6 linked regions of the Nothobranchius furzeri genome follow. The protein of the gene in region 5 binds, or shares a complex with, the protein of the main gene of each other region. Links are inferred from orthologs where the notes say so. Each region holds a gene or a part of one and is shown on either strand. Other genes may lie near its edges. The genes, in order: mybl1, ogt.1, tfdp1a, lin52, rbl2 and mybl2b.

Region 1 (3,500 bases), on a different chromosome or scaffold from region 5:
GAGATCTTTATAACTTTTAGACAGAAACACACTTCAAGAAGGATGCAGAAACTTTTAGATTGTAATAAAATATTTGATGTTTTGTTCATACACACCTGTGAGTGAGCGGGTTTTGGTGCTTTAATCAAGGAAGATACCTTCTTGATAGGAGGGCTAGAGAACTGCTGAGCGTGACTGCGAACTCCTAAAGAGGGACCGTCTTTCTTAGAAGGCAAAGCCTGTCCACGTTTCTCTTGCTCAGGGTCGACCAGTGAAGAAGAGTTTGTCAGCAGAGACTCCGACAACTGCAATATGACATCAGGCATTTGTCAAACTTTTACGTTTTAGTCTTTTATAACAGAACGGTCAATCAAAGTGAAGATTTTCTGTCACACAAACCTCAGTGCTTTTATTTGCTATTAATGATTCTTGTTATATTGCGGACACAAAAATAGTTTTCCTAAGTGACTTACCAGTGCATTGTTGAGTTGCTCCTGGAAGAGTTGGACATCGAGACTGTCCTTCTCCCAAGAGTCTAAAACAAGAGACTTGCGCACTTTTCTAGCCGGGCCGTCCATCTAAATGTAGAAGAGTCGCTGTCAGTGTTAGATCACTCCGGTTTGGTTCAATTATTTTTTTAAACAGAACAAAAAACAGCTGATTGAGGAGTGAAACTCACATGGTGCTTCCACGCTCGGTGGTCCAGCTGGAAGTCTGCTTTGTGGAAGATGTCCGTTCCCGTCTCCTGCTTCAGGACTTCTCGAATGTCCTCTTCGAGAAATGCCAAAGGCTGTGGCTGCGACAGGATGAATGTAAACTACAACGCAAACTGATCAGGAATATAACGAACCACACACAAAACAAATCCTACCTCCAACCTCAGCGGGCCATGCATTTTCTCCTGAGCAGCCAGAGCGTTTTTAAAGGGAGTGGGAGTTCTCGGGGTTAGAACGGCGGCTTTTTTACGAACTTTTGGAGTCCTGGAACTACACAAGTGTTGTCATTATAGTAAGAGTTTATTAAAAGCACAATCTAGCTTTAATGATCACTTATTTACCCATCATTCTCTTTCTGGTGGTTAGGCGTAGCTCCTTTGAGGATGCACCTCTGACTGCACACGGGGGTTGACGTCAGGGTGGGATCATCCAGATTCAGGTGCTCCATCCCTGATGTGTTGCAGAGCTGACAAGACAGACAAATGTGGTGCATGACTGATACAACGGCAGTAGGAAGATGCAATATTCTGGTTTGAGGTTTGAAGACAATAGAGCAGCGCTCATTTACTCGCGATGGCGTGAAATGTTGCGACTTTGTGGGAGTTTTCTTGGGTGAGATGTTCTCCAAAAAAGATGAACAGATCCTTTCACACAGAGGTTCCCCTCTGTCTTTCCTCCTTTTCTTCCCGATGGATGCCTGGGTGGGTTTCGATGGGTTGATGCCGCCCCCCAAACCAAAAGGAGCAGCGTTCCTGCCTGAGACGACACTGGGAGCATTGGCGGTGAAATCTATGAGATTGTAAACGGCCTTCTCTTGCAAGGGATTTGCGTAGCCTGCTTGGTTTTGTCTGAGGGGCGGCGTTGTGTTCGGCAAGTCTAAAGCGGCCGCATTGTTCCACGTAGCGGGATCCTGCTGAGTAAAATACATCTACAGTCAAAGTTTTTCTTTAAATGTACAACTGATTTGTTTTTTAAAATCCTGTTTTTTCTTTACTCACTGAATCGATGAGCTCCATGGTTTCTGCAAACTCCGGGATGGTCTGCAGGCTGGAGAGCACAGCGCTGGCCTCTACAGACAGGAACTTACTGGGGGAGACAGGAAGCTGTGTCGGAGGCCCCGGCGAGATCTCTGGACCCCTCCAGGGCTCCCTCTCCACTGGTTCTTCTAGGCTGCTGCTGCTTGTGGCGAAGACGTCATCAGACACACCGTCTGACCAGGCTGGGTATGGATCCACACCCTGAGGGGGTCGCCAGAAAAACAACTGGTGTTGAGGACGCAGATGGACTTTTTTTTTTTTTGGTCCAAAATGAAACTAGCAGCAAGTTAAGGATGCGATGTGGAAAAAGTTTCAGTGTTGATGAAAGGAGTGATCAGAACTACAGGGGTTTCTGCAGGAGGTGGGGTGACAACACAGCACAGCCGCAGGGCAAGATGAGTGAGCAGCAAGATGGGAAAAGTAGTTACTATAGCAACACTATAGCAAACCAGCCTATAGGCACAAATAAATGCACACCACTCTTGTTTTCATGGGTATACACTGCAAAAAAGTTCATAAGCAACAAAAATGTTCATTTTTAAATGATTTCTTAGTGATTGTGTGTATTTTTTGAATGAAATTAGCTTTTTTACAGTGTAATTGAGCTACAGACACACGCAGGCTATGCTAACAAGGTCTGCTAACACACGTTTGGAGTGTGTTCTTACACAGGAACCTCTGCACTGCATTTGCCGCTGGACTTCTCTTTCTGCTGACATAAGTAGAAGCTCAAGCTCCTTAATTCTTTGCTCTCTGTCAGGATCATCCAGGCAGGACGGCTGGAGTAAACAAACGGCCGGGTAGGAAAAGAAAACAGGAAGGGGGAAAAAAAGAGTGGAGAATTGAGAAGTTTTTTTTTAGTGAAGGAGAGAAAACAAAACAAATTTAGACACAAATCGATTATTCGGGGATAGCGGAAAACAACAGGACAGTCAAGTTTTTGATTAGCTTGATTTGTCCGAAGTTAGCAATCACCACAACAACAGTAGAGATAGGAGAATAAAAGGAGTGAAAAGAGATTTAAATAGAAAGACTCACTAGCATGAAGCCGGGGTTTTCAGAGAGGCTGTCCATCATGTGTCCGCTGGCAGGATCGTATGAAAATCCAGCCATCTGTAACACAACAGCAACTCAGAAAAGGAGCAGAAATGAAAGAAGCCAATGGACCTCTTAGTGTAAAGGCTGAAAGGAGACCTGGTTGGGCCCAGGCACAGGAAGAGGGCTGCGGTCACATAGCGGGGGTTCTGCTGGTGTTGGAGCTTTACTGTGACGTCTTTTGACACCACTGGAGGTGAAAGCCTTGCAGCCGTCCTGCAGGTAACCCTCGTGCTCCACTTTCCTCCTCATGGTGGAATTCCAGTGGTTCTTGATGGAATTGTCTGTCCTGTTGAGGGAAGGATTGATCATCTTTTAAAATTTACTGACTGAAAGAAAATAAAAACACTATGGTGTTATTTTACCGTCCAGGAAGGAGTTTGGAGATCTCTGCCCAGCGGTTGCCCAGCCGTTTGTGAGCCTCGTAGATAATTTGATCCTCCTCCTGAGTCCACGAAGACTTCTTCACCTCCGGGTTCAGGTGGTTGTGCCAACGCTCCCGACACTGCTTCCCAATCCTTCCCTGGAGGTGCTTTGCGATCACGGACCAGCGCTTGGGGCCATACTTGTGAACCAAGTCGATCACCTGCACCAACAGCAAACCACAAGCATTTATAAATAGCCCGGGCATAAACAAAGCTCATTAGGCTCTATGTAAACACTTGTAATAAAA
Region 2 (3,500 bases), on a different chromosome or scaffold from region 5:
TTTACAGGCAGTGACTCTGGACCCAAACTTCCTTGATGCATACATTAATTTAGGCAACGTTCTGAAAGAAGCCCGCATCTTTGACAGGTGAGTCTAAAATTTCACTCAAAACATTGAAAACATCAGGCTGTCCAGTTTCAGTCTATCTGAAAAGACTAATCGTGATATTTCAGAGCTGTGGCTGCGTATCTGAGAGCCCTGAGTCTAAGTCCCAACCATGCAGTTGTTCATGGAAACCTGGCGTGCGTCTACTACGAGCAGGGCCTCATTGACCTCGCCATCGACACCTACCGCCGTGCTATCGAACTGCAGCCTCACTTTCCCGACGCTTACTGCAACTTGGCCAACGCCCTAAAGGAGAAAGGCAATGTATGGAACGCCTTTCTGTTCTAAATAAAACAGCTTTTAGTTATTGTCAGTAGTCATTTATAAAATAGTTTTTCTGAATGTTTTTTAAGGTATCTGAAGCAGAAGAGTGCTACAACACAGCTTTGCGCCTGTGTCCAACTCACGCGGACTCCCTCAACAACTTGGCCAACATAAAGCGTGAGCAGGGCAACATCGAGGAGGCGGTCCAGCTCTACAGAAAAGCCTTGGAGGTGAGTTGACTCCAGTGCTCCTGTTCTTGTTATTGGGTTTGCTACACTTGTGAGCTCTAATGCTGTTTTTCATTAGGTGTTCCCAGAGTTCGCAGCAGCTCACTCTAACCTTGCCAGCGTGCTGCAGCAGCAGGGGAAACTACAGGAGGCCCTCATGCACTACAAGGAGGCCATCAGGTCAGTAGCTACTGACCACATTCTGTTAACTCTCACAACAGATGCATGAGATAGTCTTAAACACACGATTGTTAGTCAGTTGACTCTAGAGCTTAATCTTCGTCTGTAACGGTTTCAGAATCAGCCCGACATTTGCTGATGCTTATTCCAACATGGGCAACACACTAAAGGAGATGCAAGATGTACAGGGAGCGCTGCAGTGCTACACTCGTGCCATCCAGATCAACCCGGCCTTTGCTGATGCTCACAGCAATCTGGCCTCCATCCACAAAGTAAGAATAACCCTTTTTATTTGTCTCGGGCATGTATCGCATCAAAACAAAACCTGAACTCATTACTGAAAGTTTTAGACGTTTTCACTGTTTGTGCAACTTTTAATTAACCTTTTGAATGTGTTGATTAGGATTCTGGAAACATCCCAGAGGCCATTGCATCGTATCGCACAGCCTTGAAACTCAAACCAGACTTCCCTGATGCGTACTGCAACTTGGCACATTGCTTACAGGTTATTATTTTTTTCACTTCACGCCTACGTGTGTAAAACCTGGAGTAAATACTTGTAATCTCATCATCTTGCCACTTTCTCAGATTGTGTGTGACTGGACCGATTATGATGAACGGATGAAGAAGCTTGTGAGCATCGTGGCCGACCAGCTAGAAAAGAACCGCTTGCCCTCGGTGCACCCGCACCACAGCATGCTGTATCCGCTGTCTCACGGCTTCCGCAAAGCCATTGCCGAGCGCCACGGCAACCTTTGCCTGGACAAGGTACTCGCACTGATCAAAGCAAGTAACGTTTAAATTACTCTTTTGGGTGGGTGTGAGGTGGTTGGTGATGGCAGGGCCTGGTTGCGGGGATAGGTAAGGGATGAGCACCACTTATAATGTTTTACTATGAGGATAAGAAACTAAACAGCTGGTGGTTACTGGGCTGCTTATGGTGGGTGAGGGTTTGGCTCAGGGATTAACTTTTTTGGTTAAACAATAAAACTTTATAACAGTAATTTTGGCGTTAGATTCTCTCTTGCTTTGGTTGTAATCTCATATTGTTGCCCGTTCCACAGATCAATGCACTACACAAACCAGCCTATGAGCACCCGAAGGACCTGAAGGCCAGTGGTGGACGCCTGCGGATCGGATACGTCAGTTCTGACTTTGGTAACCACCCAACTTCCCACCTGATGCAGTCAATCCCTGGAATGCACAATCCTGAAAAATTTGAGGTAGATTCTTGTTTTAGTTTTGTTCAAGAATTCAACATTTACTTTGTTTTGTTTTGATGTAAACAGTGGTTTAAATCTCTGATGTGTCTGCAGGTGTTCTGCTATGCACTTAGCCCTGATGACGGTACCAACTTCCGTGTGAAAGTGGTGGCAGAAGCTCATCACTTCACAGACCTCTCCCAGGTATCTTCAGTGACTTTGAGCCACATGACTTATTTTGCAGGAGTTTGGTGAAAACCCAAAAATAATTTTATATTTATTGCTTTTAAAACAAAGCACATAATTTTTGCTGAAGCTCTTTTATCTTTTGACTCCAGGTTCCTTGCAATGGGAAGGCTGCTGATCGGATTCACCAGGACGGAGTCCACATTCTGGTCAACATGAACGGATACACCAAGGGTGCCAGAAATGAGCTGTTTGCTCTGCGTCCTGCCCCCGTTCAGGTGAGCTGCTGCTCACAGAGCTCTGGAACCAACCTAGCAGCCAACCCCGTGGTGCTGATGAGTGTCCTAGTCAGCTGCTGTAAACTCGCCTTGCTTTCATTTACCAGGCTATGTGGCTCGGTTACCCTGGGACCAGCGGGGCTGCCTTCATGGACTACATCATCTCAGACAAGGAGACGTCACCTGTAGAAGTAGCTGAGCAGTACTCTGAGAAGCTTGCCTACATGCCCCATACCTTCTTCATTGGAGATCATGCCAACATGTTCCCTCACCTCAAGGTCTGACCTTCCTTCCAGTGCAGAGAGACTCAAGTTTGTGTTTTTAGCTGTTTGTTTCTTAAACAAGAAACAATGTCTTGTTTAACCCACAGAAAAAAGCCGTGATTGATTTTAAGTCAAATGGACACATCTTCGACAACAGAATTGTTCTTAATGGTATTGATCTGAAAGCCTTCTTGGACAGCCTCCCAGATGTTAAAGTGATAAAAGTGAGTAAAAGCATGACAGTAAGTGTTTGATCAACCTGCAGTCACTATTTCACTGTTAACCTGTGTTGCTTGAAAGGGCAGAAATAAAAACTTTAATCTGACTCGGGAGAAGACACATGTGGCCTTGTTTTAAGAAACACTTTGAAAAGTTTAAGTTTTATGGATAAGCCGTTTTCTGTGACCAGATGAAGTGCGACAACAACCAGGAATCTGCTGGAGACACAAATGGAGCTTTGTCCATGCCCGTGATTCCCATGAACACAGCGGCAGAAGCCATCATCAACATGATCAATCAAGGCCAGATCCAGGTCACAATCAACAACTTCACAGTCAGCAACGGCCTGGCCACCACACAGGTACGATTCATGTGGACACAGCAGAATCTCGATGGCATGGACCAAAAGTATGCTCATGTAGGAAGTCAAAGTTTATTTTGCTGCTTTTTAGGTCTTTTTTTCTCACTTTCTTTTCTATTTTAATTTGTGTAAAACCATAAAGGATGAATAATAACTAGAAATATGATGCAGATCAATAACAAAGCTGCAACTGGGGAGGAGGTTCTACGCACCGT
Region 3 (2,958 bases), on a different chromosome or scaffold from region 5:
CCAAGCAGCTACTACCCAAAACCCTTGGGCCGTCTAACGTTAATGTTGCCACACACATGCAACATTTGCCACACATGGTGAGTGCGTGTGCTCTGTCTGACACTTTTCCAGAACGGTTACATATGTCCTGCATGCTGCTTTTGTCCACACCTCCTTGCTGTTGTGTAAGCCCCCTCCCATTACTGCTGGGAGGTGGAGGCACTTGATCCTAAGCTTATCAACTCTACAGTCAGCAGGATTACACCCATCATCTCATTATGTAGAAGAAATGTATACACAACGGAAATCAGCTTACAGATCACCTGTCTCCTACATCAGATTATTATTAATTTGGGACAAATTGTTGCTTTGATCATTCATCAGATGTATTTGCACGCACGTTATTGTCTTACTGTCTCATCCTCTGCTCTCTTTAGGTTATTGGAACCCCTCAGAGGCCAACAGTATCAAATACTATTTTAGTAAACAGTCCACACACACCAAGTTCTCAGTTCCTCACTCAGAGTCAACCCGCTGATGCTTCTCCTTGGTCATCAGGGTAAGACCTCGAATAGTTCAGTCGTTTTTATTTCTTTTACTTTACACAAGTTTTAGAAGCAAACTATGTGTAACTTGTTCTGTAAACAGAAAACGGGGTAAGAAGGGGGAGAAGAATGGGAAAGGCTTGAGGCATTTCTCCATGAAAGTGTGTGAGAAGGTGCAGAAGAAGGGAGTGACCACCTACAATGAGGTGGCAGACGAGCTGGTGGCAGAATTCAGTTCTTCAGACAACCACATGTCGCCGAATGACTCGGTGAGCGCTGCAGCTTTTATTTTACACACAAAACTCAGAGACGTTTTTTTTTTTTTAACGCTGACCCACGTGTTTTCCATCCCAGCACGTATACGACCAGAAGAACATTCGGCGGCGTGTTTACGATGCGCTGAACGTGCTCATGGCCATGAACATCATCTCGAAAGAGAAGAAAGAAATCAAGTGGATCGGCTTGCCCACTAACTCGGCTCAGGAGTGCCAAAATTTAGAGGTGGAGATTCAAATCAAAGGCTTTTGTCTTCTTTTTACGTAACAAGCCGTTCTGAACAACTATCTCCGTCATGCCTCCAGGTGGAGAGACAACGGCGACTGGAGAGGATTAAGCAGAAACAGTCACAGCTTCAGGAGCTCATACTTCAGGTGGGAATGGCGATAGAGCTTCACCAACACCTCAGCGATTAAAGATGCATTTGTCTGATTAAATGTTTTATATTTTACAGCAAATAGCCTTTAAGAACCTCGTTCAGAGGAACCGACAGACAGAGCAGCAAGCAAACAGGCCCCCGCCTCCTAACTCCATCATCCACCTTCCCTTCATAATAGTCAACACTAGCAAGAAGACGGTGATCGACTGCAGCATCTCTAATGACAAGTACGTGATCATCTGCGTACATTCGAACTGGAGAATTTTAGCCCCAATTTATTGTGCGTCTTTTTTTCTCCGTCTCCAGGTTCGAGTATTTGTTCAATTTCGACAGCATGTTTGAGATCCACGATGACATCGAGGTGCTGAAGCGCATGGGCATGGCCTGTGGTCTGGAGGTGGGGAAGTGTTCAGCAGAGGACCTGAAGGTGGCACGCAGCCTGGTGCCCAAAGCTCTGGAGCCTTACGTTATCGGTTCGTACGTCATGGTGTAAACGGCCAGGGTTTTTGTTGATGCTTCAGGACAACGTTGAGATGTTGTCTCTTTTAGAGCCTGATATGTGTTTAGGGACCTCCTCCCCTCAGTAATCCTGGGGTAAAGGAGCTTTTTCTGGTTGCAGGAAGCCCTCCCTCTGTCCCGAAGCTGCAGTAATAGTTAGGAAAGGTCTAAACATGTCAAGCAGCATGTTGCAGGTTCTGACACGTACAGTGAAGCGTCTGTGTTCACTCAGGAACGATTGGACGTCTACATTAAATATGGTTCCTTCTCACAGAGATGGCGAAAGGTCCCATCAGTAACGTGTACATCACAGGAGGATCCTCAGCCAACGGCGCTCGTTACACTGCCAGCAGGTAGGAAGTCGTACCTAAGATGGGAACGTTTCCCGTTTCAACCTGGTCCCTTTTTAACCCGGTTTCTCCGTTTCTAGTGACGGCTGCACCGACGGCACCATGGCGTCCAGCTCCAACGACTCTCACTACAGCGGCTCTCGCGTGGAGACCCCGGTGTCTTACATGGGGGACGACGATGATGAGGATGAATACGAGGAGAACGACGATGAAGACTAACCGCGCTACATGTCCCCACTCCAACAAGCACAGTCCTCCAAACAGCAGTCACAGCGGCGATCTGGTCCCTTTTAGTGTGTGTGTGCTTCCTTCCCAAGCCCCCCCCCGTCCACGCTCGTGTTTCTGTCTGGTCTTCTCAGGGGTGTAGATGAATTCTGAAAGAACAGAGGAGTTGTTTGTTTATATTTTCCTGTTTATTTGTTGTTTCCACCCCCCCGCTGACTCACATGCTCCTGCACCACACCTACGATCTGCGGGAACCGTCGTCTGTGATCCTTTTTCAACAAGCCATCCCACTCTCCGCTCTCTGTAAAAGCTGTTGCTGTTGGAGAATGTAAAGTGTATTTGTTTGAATAGTTATTATTTTACTGTCACGATGGATATTATGATCAAAATGTTCCGTTAATGTCTGCTGTGTTAGCGCGCCGTGGATCCTGATGGCTGTTGGGGCGGTTTGAAATAGTTTCTTATTCCCATTGCGTTGGGTTGGCTTCCGTATGTTTCGTAGGCAGCTGCTTTCTGATCTTGTTAGTATGTTTTTTTTTTTTTTTTTGTATTCTGGAGTTGAGAAGCTGTCCCATCACCACCCTGTTGACGCCTTTGGTAGTGTTTACAAATAAACGGCTGAAGCGAGGTAAAGCTCCTAGGTAATTCAGCTTTGTTAATTACATATAAATCCTACCACCATTGTAGCTCATAGTGTCCTTTAGAG
Region 4 (3,955 bases), on a different chromosome or scaffold from region 5:
CTGGAGGCAAGGCAAACAAATCATTTCTAAAATTAATTATTTCACAAAATGAATCAATCTGATTTCTGCAACATTAAAATATTGATTTGCTTTACCACCAAATGTAGATCACTCTGGGGTGATTTTTTTATTATAGATGAACATTTTCTTGTTAAAGTGGCATTAAAGTTTTATTAAACCTTCTACAAACTATTTATTATCATTAAAGAACCGACATCATGGCTGCCATCTACCCTGCTGTTTAAACTCACATTATTTTACACAATTTGCTACCATTTCAGTTTATTTACACATGTCGCTGAAGAGGAGGTGTACAACGATTCTCTTACGCTAGAAACATTAAAAACATTTTTATCTTCTTTTAGGATAATATCAGCACTTAGCTACATCTCTCTAATCCACACTCCAGAAGGATTATTACAATGGAGGCGGGAGGGAATGGATTAAAACAAGAGCTTGTGCATCCATCATATTCTTGAGCATTTGCTTGTGTGAGCTCTTGGTGGCATGCACTCATTTCTTACTTGTTTACATTTAACAAGACTGACCTAAATCCTTGTTTTAAAGATCTTACGGCCAACCTGTTTTATGCAGACTCTAAATTACAATTGCACTTTCAATAACATCTACTCTGATTTTGAATAATAAATAACATCCATGTGATTTTAGCCTATTTTGAACAAACAAAAAGTAAATCTGATTCTGCAACTAAACGTAGTAGTGGAAAGGCTACTAGCACCACCTGGTGGTGATAGACGTAAACAGCTGATTGGGAAAACTAAAAACTACACGAACACATCACAGCCTATGTTTTCATGTTGTTTGTGTGTTTTGTACTTACACTCCTCTAAACCCAGCTGGTAAGCCAGGTTCTGAAGTCCTTTGACCTTCTCCATCAGGTTAGCTGTTGTCAGACTACCCAGCTCTGCAGAGTGATTACAAGGCAAAGATTTTAAGCTCCAGTTTGATCAACTCAGTTTCTCCTTGACAAGATTATATATTTATGGAAACACTAACCAGTACAACAGTTTTAACATGAAACGCTGCAGGCACAGAGAAAATCTTTCTAATTAAACATATATTAAAAAAAAAAACAATTGTACCAACCTTTTAACATCTCGATGTCCTCGCTTTCCAATTCAGCCATCCACTTAGGGGGTGAGCTTGTAATGGGCTGTAATAAAAATAAATGATATTATACGGCAATGCCAAATCTAAATGATTATTTAATGTATTAATCTCAGTTAATGACAAAAAACGTATCTTACGTTTTTATAGGATGCAGCAAATTCTGCAACTCCGGGTACTGTGTGAGAAATGACAGGACAGATAAGGTTAAACTGTGGGACCATAAAGAAGCACAGAGGAGATGAAAACTTACACTGCTCAGGCCACAGGTCTGGTGACGCTCTGTCCAGCTTTTCTAAACTAAGCAAAGAGCTTTCAAAATCATCACCTGGCAAAGAAAAGGAAGTAAAATTATGTTCAGAATTCAGGCAGAAATTTCAGAGCTTTAGAACAAAATGTGATCTTCTTGATGTAAATACAAGTAAAATGTGTGACTTATGGACCATTCCCATCTGTACCGGGTCGGCCCGGGCCGGGTAGCCCCAGTCGGCCCCATCCTGGCCCGGTTGATTCCACACATCCTTGTCTTACGCCCATGTGGGCTGATTCTACCCACCAATCAGAGGCTTGCTCTAATGGAAGGTGTGAATTTGCTGTCAGCAGTGGGTGTGTTGGCCCTGGTCGGCCTGAAGCAGACCCCCTCGAGAAGAGGGCTGAGAATGAGCCTTGGTTGGTCCGGAAAAATACCAGGCCACCCAGATATGTAAACAACCAACGCTACCCGGCCCGGACCGACCCGGTACAGATGGGAATGGCCCATATGACTACAGCCAAACAAATGTCAAAATGTAACCACAACAGTTAATACAATATGTTGGCTGTATTAAAACAAAATATGTGTACAAGATAAATACTGATTAATCAGCTGTTCTTAAAAAAATTACTAATATTTGGGAGGTTTAGTTTATTTATCATACCTTTCATTTTTAAATGTTGCTTGATTCAAGTCCCTATACAACCATTTCTGCTAGGCTGTGACAACAACTGTGTGCTGATTATTCAAAAACTATTCTTAAAACCAATATTTAGTGTAACAATTTGTGTTAGCATTATGCTTCCTAATACATGACCCTACATAGTGTGTGTGTGTGTACATATATATATATATATATATATATATATATATATATATATATATATATATATATATATATATATATATATATATATATATAACCTTTCAAAAACCTTTCAAAATATGTTGATGTGAAACAAATAATGCCTCAAAATGTTGGAAAAATGTCGTAAATATTAATTATTAGGCCAGTATTTAACAAAGAGGCAACTCAAAAGCTAGTAGTATTTAAAATATCAGGAGTTACGGAAGGTCTGCAGCCAGCTGTCTACTGTTCTTCCTTGAACGTTGGTGGACTAACAACACCGGGGCTAGTGGAGCCTTCAGTCAAACAAAACCACCTCCGAGAAGTCGGACTACAACGCTGATATGTGTAGTTCTGAATTCTGGGTGTTCAGCTACATCATCAATACATTCGTGGAATAATTTGTGTGATTTAAAGTGTTAAATTTTACATTTTTTAACAGCGTATCTGTGTAAGGAATTAAAATTTACCTCCATTCGGAGACGCCATCTTCACAATAATCACGTGACCCGTGACAACGAATAGGAGTCAATGTTGACAAAGCCTTGTAAATTCACAAACACACCACAAGAGGTCACTCTTACACACCAAAGCCGTGTTCCTGGGGGTAAAATGAATAAACTAATAATTTTATAATAAGTGTCAGGGGCGATCCTAGCATCAGAGGTTTAGGGGTGCTAAGCACACAGCGAGTTCCATGGCCAGGCAAGATACATTTCAACATTTTGTACAATTTTACACAATTTCATTCCAACATTTGTGAAAGAAAAGAAAATCGGTGTTTTTACAAATAGATCTGTGGTTTTACATATCACAATCTATGTTGAACAGATTTTGCTATCTGTGTACAACAATTTGGTCCAAGTTCGAAGAGTCTGGGTCAGTGGTTCCCAACCCTTTTTCTTTGATGACCCAATACAGGATCTATTTTATGGTTTTTGGTGCAATATTTTCTAACAGTGAGTGAAAGTCCGTTTTATTTATTTCTTTTTTTTGTTTGTTTGTTTTATTCATTTATTTAGAAGTTCGATTCTGAACATTCTAATGTTAACAAGAGTTTTATTTGCTGCATTTTAAAGGGTGTACTTGCATTATTATGATATATTAAAATTATATAAGTGATTATTTTGGTCTCGATAATGTCAACAATAATATTGTTTATTGGCAATAATTTGTTGGACAATATATTGTCCTGCAAAATCTGTTATCGTCCCAGGCCTAGTTCACTTGTACAAACTACTTAAAAATTAAAAATCAGCAAATCTATTTTATTTTTCTGTGTACAACAAAATTTTAGCTATTAGCTATAGCTGGGGCTATTAGCAGTTAAAACAGAGATGGATTTTTTTTAAGCTTTATTAAAATAAGAGGCTAAATATTCTCTTCAGAATGTCTAAAAGGAACGTGCAGTACCAGATTTCAGTTGGAAATTAGAGTGTCGTTCTATTTATTGCCAGCGGAGCTAGCAACTATATGTGATTGAATTTTTGAAAAATCTAAAGAGGCTAAATATTCCCTTCTAAATGGATTTAAAAATCGGATGTGCAGTATCAAATTTCAGACACTAGAGGGCAGCAAATACTCCCTTCTTGTCTGCATGCAGTTGGAAACCTGTGTTGTTCTGTTATTTGCCAGCAGAGGGCGCACATTCTCCATTCTTTCAACGAAACAAGTGTTTTAAAAAATAGAGCAAGAGTTTCTACTAAGTCCGTCTTGTAAAAATCTAT
Region 5 (3,500 bases):
GAGTGCTGGTCAGGTTCTGGGCAGGGAGTGGCTGAAGTGTGGCCCCGCCCACTTGCACTGGGATGAAAGTGAATCCTCCATTCTCATTGGGTATCCCTACAAAGAGGTCAGAGGTCAGCACATAGTTACAGGTCACCTGTTGTAGTTAACTCATTGTTTTGAGTCCCTTACCTTGCACAGGTATAGTCAGTGTCTGCCCGTTGTTGGCCGTGACGGTGGCGGTCGCCACTACAGTCTGCCCCGCCGGAATGGTGGCAATGAGGCTCGGCTTTGTGACGCTGCTCGGTGGTGTTCTTGTGGCGCTGGTCTCACCCTCCGTCGGGTCAACAAACAGACGGCGACGAAATCCACCTGTGGGGGGGGAGCCATACCGGTCCTGCAGGGTGGTGGGGGAGGGGGACACGCCTTCAGAAGACGGAGGGGCAAATTATTTCTACACAGAAACACAAAAGAGTAAGACAAGATGGCTGACAAATCACCTGTGATGGTGCTGTTGGTGCTGAGGTCTGGTCCCTGTGAGGCTGGAGTGAGGGCAATGCCAGCCCCACCGCTGTCTTCATTCTGTTCCAGGTACTGAGGAGGCATCACCTGAAACGCAGACGCACACACACGTGCACACACACACACACACACACACACACACACACACACACACACACACACACACACACACACACTGATTGACCCACAGAACTTTCAGAACCACTGAATTTTATTTGTGAGCAGCCTAAAGCCTCCTCATATCTCTGAGACTTTGGTAAACAAAAGGTTCTGAATGTTTCCAACATCATCTGTTCAGTAAGAAGATGACATCATCTCTACAGGTGAAGTAGAACCAGGTGCTGTTTGTGTTCTCATGGACCTCCTGGCAGGTCGGGACTTGGGCTGACTGGAGACTGTGCCACAGCGGGGAGTTGCTGGTCCAAGCCAGGCTCTCCAGAACCTGCTCCTCCACCTGGTTCAGGTGCTTCACGACCTCCCGAAACAGACCCTGTTCCGACCGGACCAGCACCTCAATCACCTGCACACACACACACACACACACACACACACACACACACACACACACACACACACACACACACACACACACACACACACACACACACACACACACACACACACACACACACACACACAGTAAACGTGAGTTTTTATGAGTATTAGTTCGTTCATCAGATGATGAAATAGTTGTTATTATTATTATTATTATTATTATTACAGTTGTTATTACAATTATTGTTGTTTATATTATTGTTGTCTTGAGCAGTGTCTGGCAGATGCTGCTGACTAGTGCCGATAGCTGAGATGAAGCTCAGCATGCTGCTTCCTGATTGGCTAATCTGGACTCAGTCTGAGAACGGGTCGGGCCAGCTGGTACCTTATAGAAGTGGTAAGCAGGAAGCTGGAAGGTGTGGATGACTCTGGGGAAGTCTCCTGGAGGTCTGTAGGAGAAGGTAACGATCTCCAGGCAGCAGGCCAGCAGGGAGCGGTGGAACACGTCCTGCTCCAGAATACACTGCAGAACCAACAGGGGGTATGGTTCAGTGCAGTCACAGCTGGTAACCATCACACACAGAACCTCCCCGGTCCAGACCAGACGCCCTGGGTCAGGAGTCCAGACCTTGAGACCAGAACTGTACTCACAGACAGGTCAGCGTCTCCCAGGATCATCTTTTCTCTCTCAACGATGGACTCCAGGATCCTGTAGTACAGCGCCTCGCTCAGGTGGAAGAACTTGACGGCCATGTCTGCTGGACAACACATGGTCAGGTGGGACAGCAGATCAGCTGATCACTGGGCTCAGGTCCTCACCTTTTTCCATCCCCTTGCTGTCATCAGTGCTGTCCTCATGATGCTGTGTGAAGATGTCTAACATGTCCTTCAGGCGCTGACTGATGACATCACTGGGGTCTCTGGAACAGCCCCTGGAACCGAAACAGCCGCACTCCAGACTTCCAGTCAATGTAAATTGTTAAAGGTCAGAGGTCAGGCTTAGTCTATCAGAACTGGACCTCACCAGAACCTTAAACCGGCTTCACCAAACCAAACCTGGAAAAGCAGCAAGTTCACCCTAAGGTCAAAGGTCAACACTCAGTTTCAGGGAGGCTAAAGGTCACAGCAGCTCAGATTGGTAGCATTTTACCTGAACAAACCACGGAGACACCAAGGTGGATGTGTTTACCCACAATGCACTGCAGCAGAGACAGCTGTTCCCAGCTGTCAGCACGGTCAGTGGTGGAGCTGACCTCTGACCTTTAGGCTTTACAGAATGGATGCCTAACCTCTGCACCACTGTAACACCTGTGCACATCCTCAGAAAAAGTCCCACAAGATAAAACGTGGCTTACTCATCAGGCACACTCCCTCACCGGTGCCGAGCTGGCCGTAATCCACAAGAATCCACAAGTTAGAACCTAAACGGACCTGATATCTGACCGAACTGTGCTCTAAGTCTAGACTCTGGACCTCTCTCCCCCTGAGCCTGAGATCAGTGGACTCAATGGTCTCCTTTAAAAAGCAGCTGAAGACTCACTTGTTCAAGCTGGCTTTTGTATGACCTTCTTCACCACTCTCTCTTTATTCTGCTCTCCCCACCTATTCCACCTTCCTCAGGATCCACTGATTTCCCTCTTTCCTATTCACTCTCTCTCTTTCTTAACATTTTTTTTAATTACAATTGCCTATTTTTGCTCATTTTAATATATTTTTAAACATTTTCTAAATGCTTTTTTATATTTTTACATATTTTGTTTTTGTGAAGCGCCTCGTGATTTTTATCTTGAGAGGCGCTATAGAAATATTTTCTTCTTCTTCTTCTTCTTCTTCTTCTTCTAAGTGCAGCCCTGAGACTAAAACCTGAAGCTAACAGGTTAGCTAAAGGCTGATTCAGCACGCCCATGACTGGTTGGACGGACGGATTTCCCCGCATGCCGCGCTCTTTCTGACATGTTTAAAATGTAACTAACTTATCGGCTGTATCTGACACTGTCAACCACGGCTTCCTTTGGTCCGCACTCTCTAGCATGGGCATCGCAGGGAAAGCACACTCCTGGCTTGAATCGTACCTGAAAGGACGATCTTTCAGTGCATCTTGGCTCGGACAATTTCTGCTGTTCACCATCTTGCCACAGGAGTCCCCCAGGGCTCTGTACTAGGACCTCTTCTCTTTGCCATATACACCACCTCACTAGGTGAGATCATTCAATCACATGGCTTCTCCTACCACTGCTATGCTGATGACACCCAGCTCTACCGGCCATTCCCGCTGGACGACCACAGAGTCTCTGAACGAATCTCAGACTCTGACATATCAAGATGGGTGAAATCCCACCATCTCCAACTCAACCTCTCTTACACTGAATTACTTGTCATGCCAGCGAAACCATCCATACGGCACAATATCTCCAAAGTGATTCCCTTTAGACATGGTGGGGTGGGAGTAATGAGGTTAGCGGATCAGAACCTGACACCTGAGGGTTCTCTTAGTCCGGTCAGAA
Region 6 (2,896 bases), on a different chromosome or scaffold from region 5:
ATTTAAACCAAAAACATGTTTTGGTACCAGGCTGTGAACATGTTTATTTCTGCTGTGAAATTGGTATTTTTAACATGGGAGTCAATGAGGATTTGCTCGCTTCTGACACCAGCCCCTAGTGGATGAGGGTGGAACTGCAATTTTTGGTATTTCCGGGTTGGACTCAAATTTTAGAGCAGCATTGTGGGGGCTTGGTCCATGCGTATGAGCAGCATCTAGTGGTAGAACTCCACACATGTTCCTCATCTCTGAATTATTTCACCCAATAAACAATTCTAGCGGTGGAAAATCAGTTTTTTCGCGCCCGACTGGCGCCAAAACCTGTAAGAGACACCTGTGACTGACAGGAGCATGGCTGATCTGTGTTATCTGAGGATTTGGCAGAATGTGCACTCCGGCGCGTCCTCCGTGAGCGCACGGATCTCCCCGAAAGGGATCCTTCTGGAGCTGTCGTGGTTACAGACCACACACATCCGACTCTAGCACATTCAGTTGTTTACAACTAAGAGAAGAACCCGTCCAGAACCTCCTCTGCTGCCCCGTCATACGCAGCGTGTCGTCGTGGTAACCAGACTGAGTGGCAGCTCAGAGGAGGCTGCACTCGGACAACAAAGGTTTCCAAACCGAACATGCAGACAACTCTTTGATGTCAACGGTAAATGACAGCAGAGTGACAGGATGTCTCCTCTGGCCCACGTTTATAAATTTTTGGGGAGGAATGCAGGGATTCCTCTCATGAGCTGAAGACACGGTGTGACCAAATATGGTTAATTGAGGGTGTTTCTGTATGTAAATGATGGTGAACAAACACGAGCACAGGTGAGATTTATCATCAGGTGATAGAGGAGGAACGAGAAGCCATCTGCGTTCGTATGAGCAGGAATTTAGAAATATTCTACGAACGTTTGATGCGTACAGCTCCTGGACTCCACCCCGACTCTAGGTGTCAGTCAGCAGCGGTACAGCCGAGTTCTGCAGATGTTCTCTTGAGTCTTCTAAAACGCCGTTGAGCTCTGTTACAGAACACTCACCCACGGGTCTGCTGCCTCGTCTCGTTGCACCAAACTAAAAGCTTCCTGGAATGTCTTCATGAGTTTGGCTAAAGTGGAGCTGGATCTTTAGTCCTCAGCTCCTCACAAGGAGGAACAGGTGGTTCCAGACTGGAGATGCATCAGACCACAGGATAAACTTGTGATCAGCTGATCTGGAACTGTAACTGTAGCTTTGATTTGTCACCCCGCCTGCAGCATCGCCCTCCGATGAAGAAGGTGCGGAAGTCGCTGGCCCTGGACGTCATGGAGGTGAATCCTCCATCCAAACGCAAATCCGGCAAGATGGAGGCCAGACGCACCATCAAGGTGGAATGTGTAAATAAACAAAAGGTTCAGTCGTCTGTAGATGTGAGTTCTGATGTTTTTGCCTCCTGCTCACAGGAGGAACCCGTCACCGTTCCTCTCAACTCCTCATCGTTCCGGAGCAGGAGACATGAAAGCATTCTGGACCAGGGGTTCCTGCTGGGGCCAAGTGACAGCGCCATATTTCCCAGTTCACTGCCTCCACTTCCTGTAAGTCATCCCCTCCCAGTATGACCTCAGCACCAGTGTACGTAGTTCTGATCTGAAGCTGGTTTCTCTTTCCACAGATGTCCAGGGAGTGGGAGAAAGTCGTTTGTGGACAAACTAAAGATCAGCTGATAATGACGGAGAAAGCAAGGCGCTACCTTCGCTCTCTGAAACGCAGCGCTCCAAACCGGGCTTTGGTTCTGTCCTGAGTTCGGTTGCCACGCCAACGTGGGCAGAGACCGGCGACTACAGGGTTCAAAGAAATGACCCGTTTGAGAGTGTGGTGCTTCTAGATGTAGGCTAATCATTGTTGATTTCAAATGTTAGAAAAGAACTTTGAATGTAAAAACAAGGAATCAAGATTGTAACATTTTGTAAAAATTGTGGTTTTATGAATCTGGAAAGTGTTTTTGTACTGTTGTGAACAAAAAAAAAAACCCTCAGGAAACATCTTCACATCAGTTTTACTGCAGAACATGTTCACCATAAGTAGAATTAAAACCTCAAGTCTCACAAATTACATCCCACTGCAACCCTAACAGCAACTTATCAATATTTTAAAAATGTGACCTGTTTTTATACAGTAAAGGTTGTGTAGAAGACCTGTTCTGACCACTGTTTGCATAATGCGTTGTTATTTAGCAATATTTGTAAATATAATTAGAGTTGGGTATTATCTCACTCATGTAATAGATGGGTTTAATGAAAACATCTATTTTTCCAGAATGTTTGTTCTATTATTTTTCCACACTTTAACTGCTTAAAGGCTTCAGTAAAACCAACCAAGTGACAGAGGATGGCAAACTGATAAAATAAAATATATGATTCCTGCCAGATAATTCAATTTGAGTAATGTAACTTTAGATCAGCAACTATTTATCAAATCAGACTTAACAAAACAATAACAGAGTGCTTTGAAATGGATGTGGTTAAAAATACAAAAGTGCAAAGTGGTCTATTTGATTCTGTTTATTTCCCAGAACATTGATGAACTTGGATCTGCGATAAAACAAATTGCCACATCAGGAATTGACTATCTTTTTACCCTGCTTTTATTTTGAAATGCTGCTTTTATGTTGCAACCATGGGCATGGTAACAACAGCCTAAAATCTCATTAGTGAATTACTCTGTTTAAAACATCTGTTCAGTGTTACACGTATGAGTTACATTAGATGATTTTAAGAACTTGAGCTGCTTTGAGCATGTACATGACACAAGAATTTCCCTCGGGATAAATAAAGTTGTTCTTATCTAAACTTCACTGAAGAACCAGTGGTGGCGCTATAGCTACCCCTGGATTAGTCATTGCACCCCCAATTTTAATTTAACGTGT

What was found.
Region 1: rbl2 (region 5) and mybl1 share a complex: the UniProt entries of both Homo sapiens proteins name them as parts of the DREAM complex. The link is inferred for Nothobranchius furzeri from reciprocal best matches to the Homo sapiens genes RBL2 and MYBL1.
Region 2: the proteins of rbl2 (region 5) and ogt.1 are in contact, whole or in part, in a crystal structure (PDB 4XI9), measured with the Homo sapiens proteins. The link is inferred for Nothobranchius furzeri from reciprocal best matches to the Homo sapiens genes RBL2 and OGT. Residues at the interface, in NP_001310537.1 of Homo sapiens: Thr417, Pro418, Val419, Ser420, Thr421, Ala422; in NP_858058.1 of Homo sapiens: His506, His508, His509, Asn567, His568, Pro569, Tyr642, Thr643, Lys644, Gln849, Phe878, Val905, Ala906.
Region 3: rbl2 (region 5) and tfdp1a share a complex: the UniProt entries of both Homo sapiens proteins name them as parts of the DREAM complex. The link is inferred for Nothobranchius furzeri from reciprocal best matches to the Homo sapiens genes RBL2 and TFDP1.
Region 4: rbl2 (region 5) and lin52 share a complex: the UniProt entries of both Homo sapiens proteins name them as parts of the DREAM complex. The link is inferred for Nothobranchius furzeri from reciprocal best matches to the Homo sapiens genes RBL2 and LIN52.
Region 6: rbl2 (region 5) and mybl2b share a complex: the UniProt entries of both Homo sapiens proteins name them as parts of the DREAM complex. The link is inferred for Nothobranchius furzeri from reciprocal best matches to the Homo sapiens genes RBL2 and MYBL2.

The regions. Positions count from the first base shown.
Region 1 is NC_091747.1:51,688,069-51,691,568, forward strand, and holds part of mybl1 (myb-related protein A), read right to left. Parts: intron 3,414-3,500; coding exon 3,193-3,413; intron 3,117-3,192; coding exon 2,927-3,116; intron 2,846-2,926; coding exon 2,771-2,845; intron 2,512-2,770; coding exon 2,401-2,511; intron 1,934-2,400; coding exon 1,694-1,933; intron 1,609-1,693; coding exon 1,264-1,608; intron 1,162-1,263; coding exon 1,037-1,161; intron 966-1,036; coding exon 851-965; intron 776-850; coding exon 659-775; intron 558-658; coding exon 453-557; intron 285-452; coding exon 96-284; intron 1-95. UniProt on the Homo sapiens protein: Transcription factor that specifically recognizes the sequence 5'-YAAC[GT]G-3'.
Region 2 is NC_091741.1:100,479,913-100,483,412, forward strand, and holds part of ogt.1 (UDP-N-acetylglucosamine--peptide N-acetylglucosaminyltransferase 110 kDa subunit), read left to right. Parts: intron 1-7; coding exon 8-87; intron 88-173; coding exon 174-369; intron 370-458; coding exon 459-599; intron 600-675; coding exon 676-776; intron 777-894; coding exon 895-1,048; intron 1,049-1,179; coding exon 1,180-1,281; intron 1,282-1,364; coding exon 1,365-1,562; intron 1,563-1,840; coding exon 1,841-1,999; intron 2,000-2,092; coding exon 2,093-2,182; intron 2,183-2,316; coding exon 2,317-2,442; intron 2,443-2,549; coding exon 2,550-2,720; intron 2,721-2,812; coding exon 2,813-2,929; intron 2,930-3,114; coding exon 3,115-3,285; intron 3,286-3,456; coding exon 3,457-3,500. UniProt on the Homo sapiens protein: Catalyzes the transfer of a single N-acetylglucosamine from UDP-GlcNAc to a serine or threonine residue in cytoplasmic and nuclear proteins resulting in their modification with a beta-linked N-acetylglucosamine (O-GlcNAc).
Region 3 is NC_091754.1:25,783,838-25,786,795, forward strand, and holds the end of tfdp1a (transcription factor Dp-1), read left to right. Parts: coding exon 1-77; intron 78-416; coding exon 417-538; intron 539-627; coding exon 628-793; intron 794-878; coding exon 879-1,025; intron 1,026-1,105; coding exon 1,106-1,174; intron 1,175-1,254; coding exon 1,255-1,406; intron 1,407-1,485; coding exon 1,486-1,652; intron 1,653-1,951; coding exon 1,952-2,030; intron 2,031-2,107; coding exon 2,108-2,246; 3' UTR 2,247-2,458; downstream 2,459-2,958. UniProt on the Homo sapiens protein: Can stimulate E2F-dependent transcription.
Region 4 is NC_091758.1:32,967,798-32,971,752, reverse strand, and holds the start of lin52 (protein lin-52 homolog), read right to left. Parts: upstream 2,801-3,955; 5' UTR 2,718-2,800; coding exon 2,699-2,717; intron 1,457-2,698; coding exon 1,382-1,456; intron 1,307-1,381; coding exon 1,269-1,306; intron 1,175-1,268; coding exon 1,108-1,174; intron 926-1,107; coding exon 842-925; intron 1-841.
Region 5 is NC_091744.1:80,493,796-80,497,295, reverse strand, and holds part of rbl2 (retinoblastoma-like protein 2), read right to left. Parts: intron 1,929-3,500; coding exon 1,816-1,928; intron 1,755-1,815; coding exon 1,648-1,754; intron 1,520-1,647; coding exon 1,382-1,519; intron 1,022-1,381; coding exon 863-1,021; intron 589-862; coding exon 480-588; intron 406-479; coding exon 172-405; intron 97-171; coding exon 1-96. UniProt on the Homo sapiens protein: Key regulator of entry into cell division. Directly involved in heterochromatin formation by maintaining overall chromatin structure and, in particular, that of constitutive heterochromatin by stabilizing histone methylation.
Region 6 is NC_091743.1:41,543,867-41,546,762, forward strand, and holds the end of mybl2b (v-myb avian myeloblastosis viral oncogene homolog-like 2b), read left to right. Parts: intron 1-1,247; coding exon 1,248-1,358; intron 1,359-1,433; coding exon 1,434-1,565; intron 1,566-1,642; coding exon 1,643-1,771; 3' UTR 1,772-2,396; downstream 2,397-2,896. UniProt on the Homo sapiens protein: Transcription factor involved in the regulation of cell survival, proliferation, and differentiation. Transactivates the expression of the CLU gene.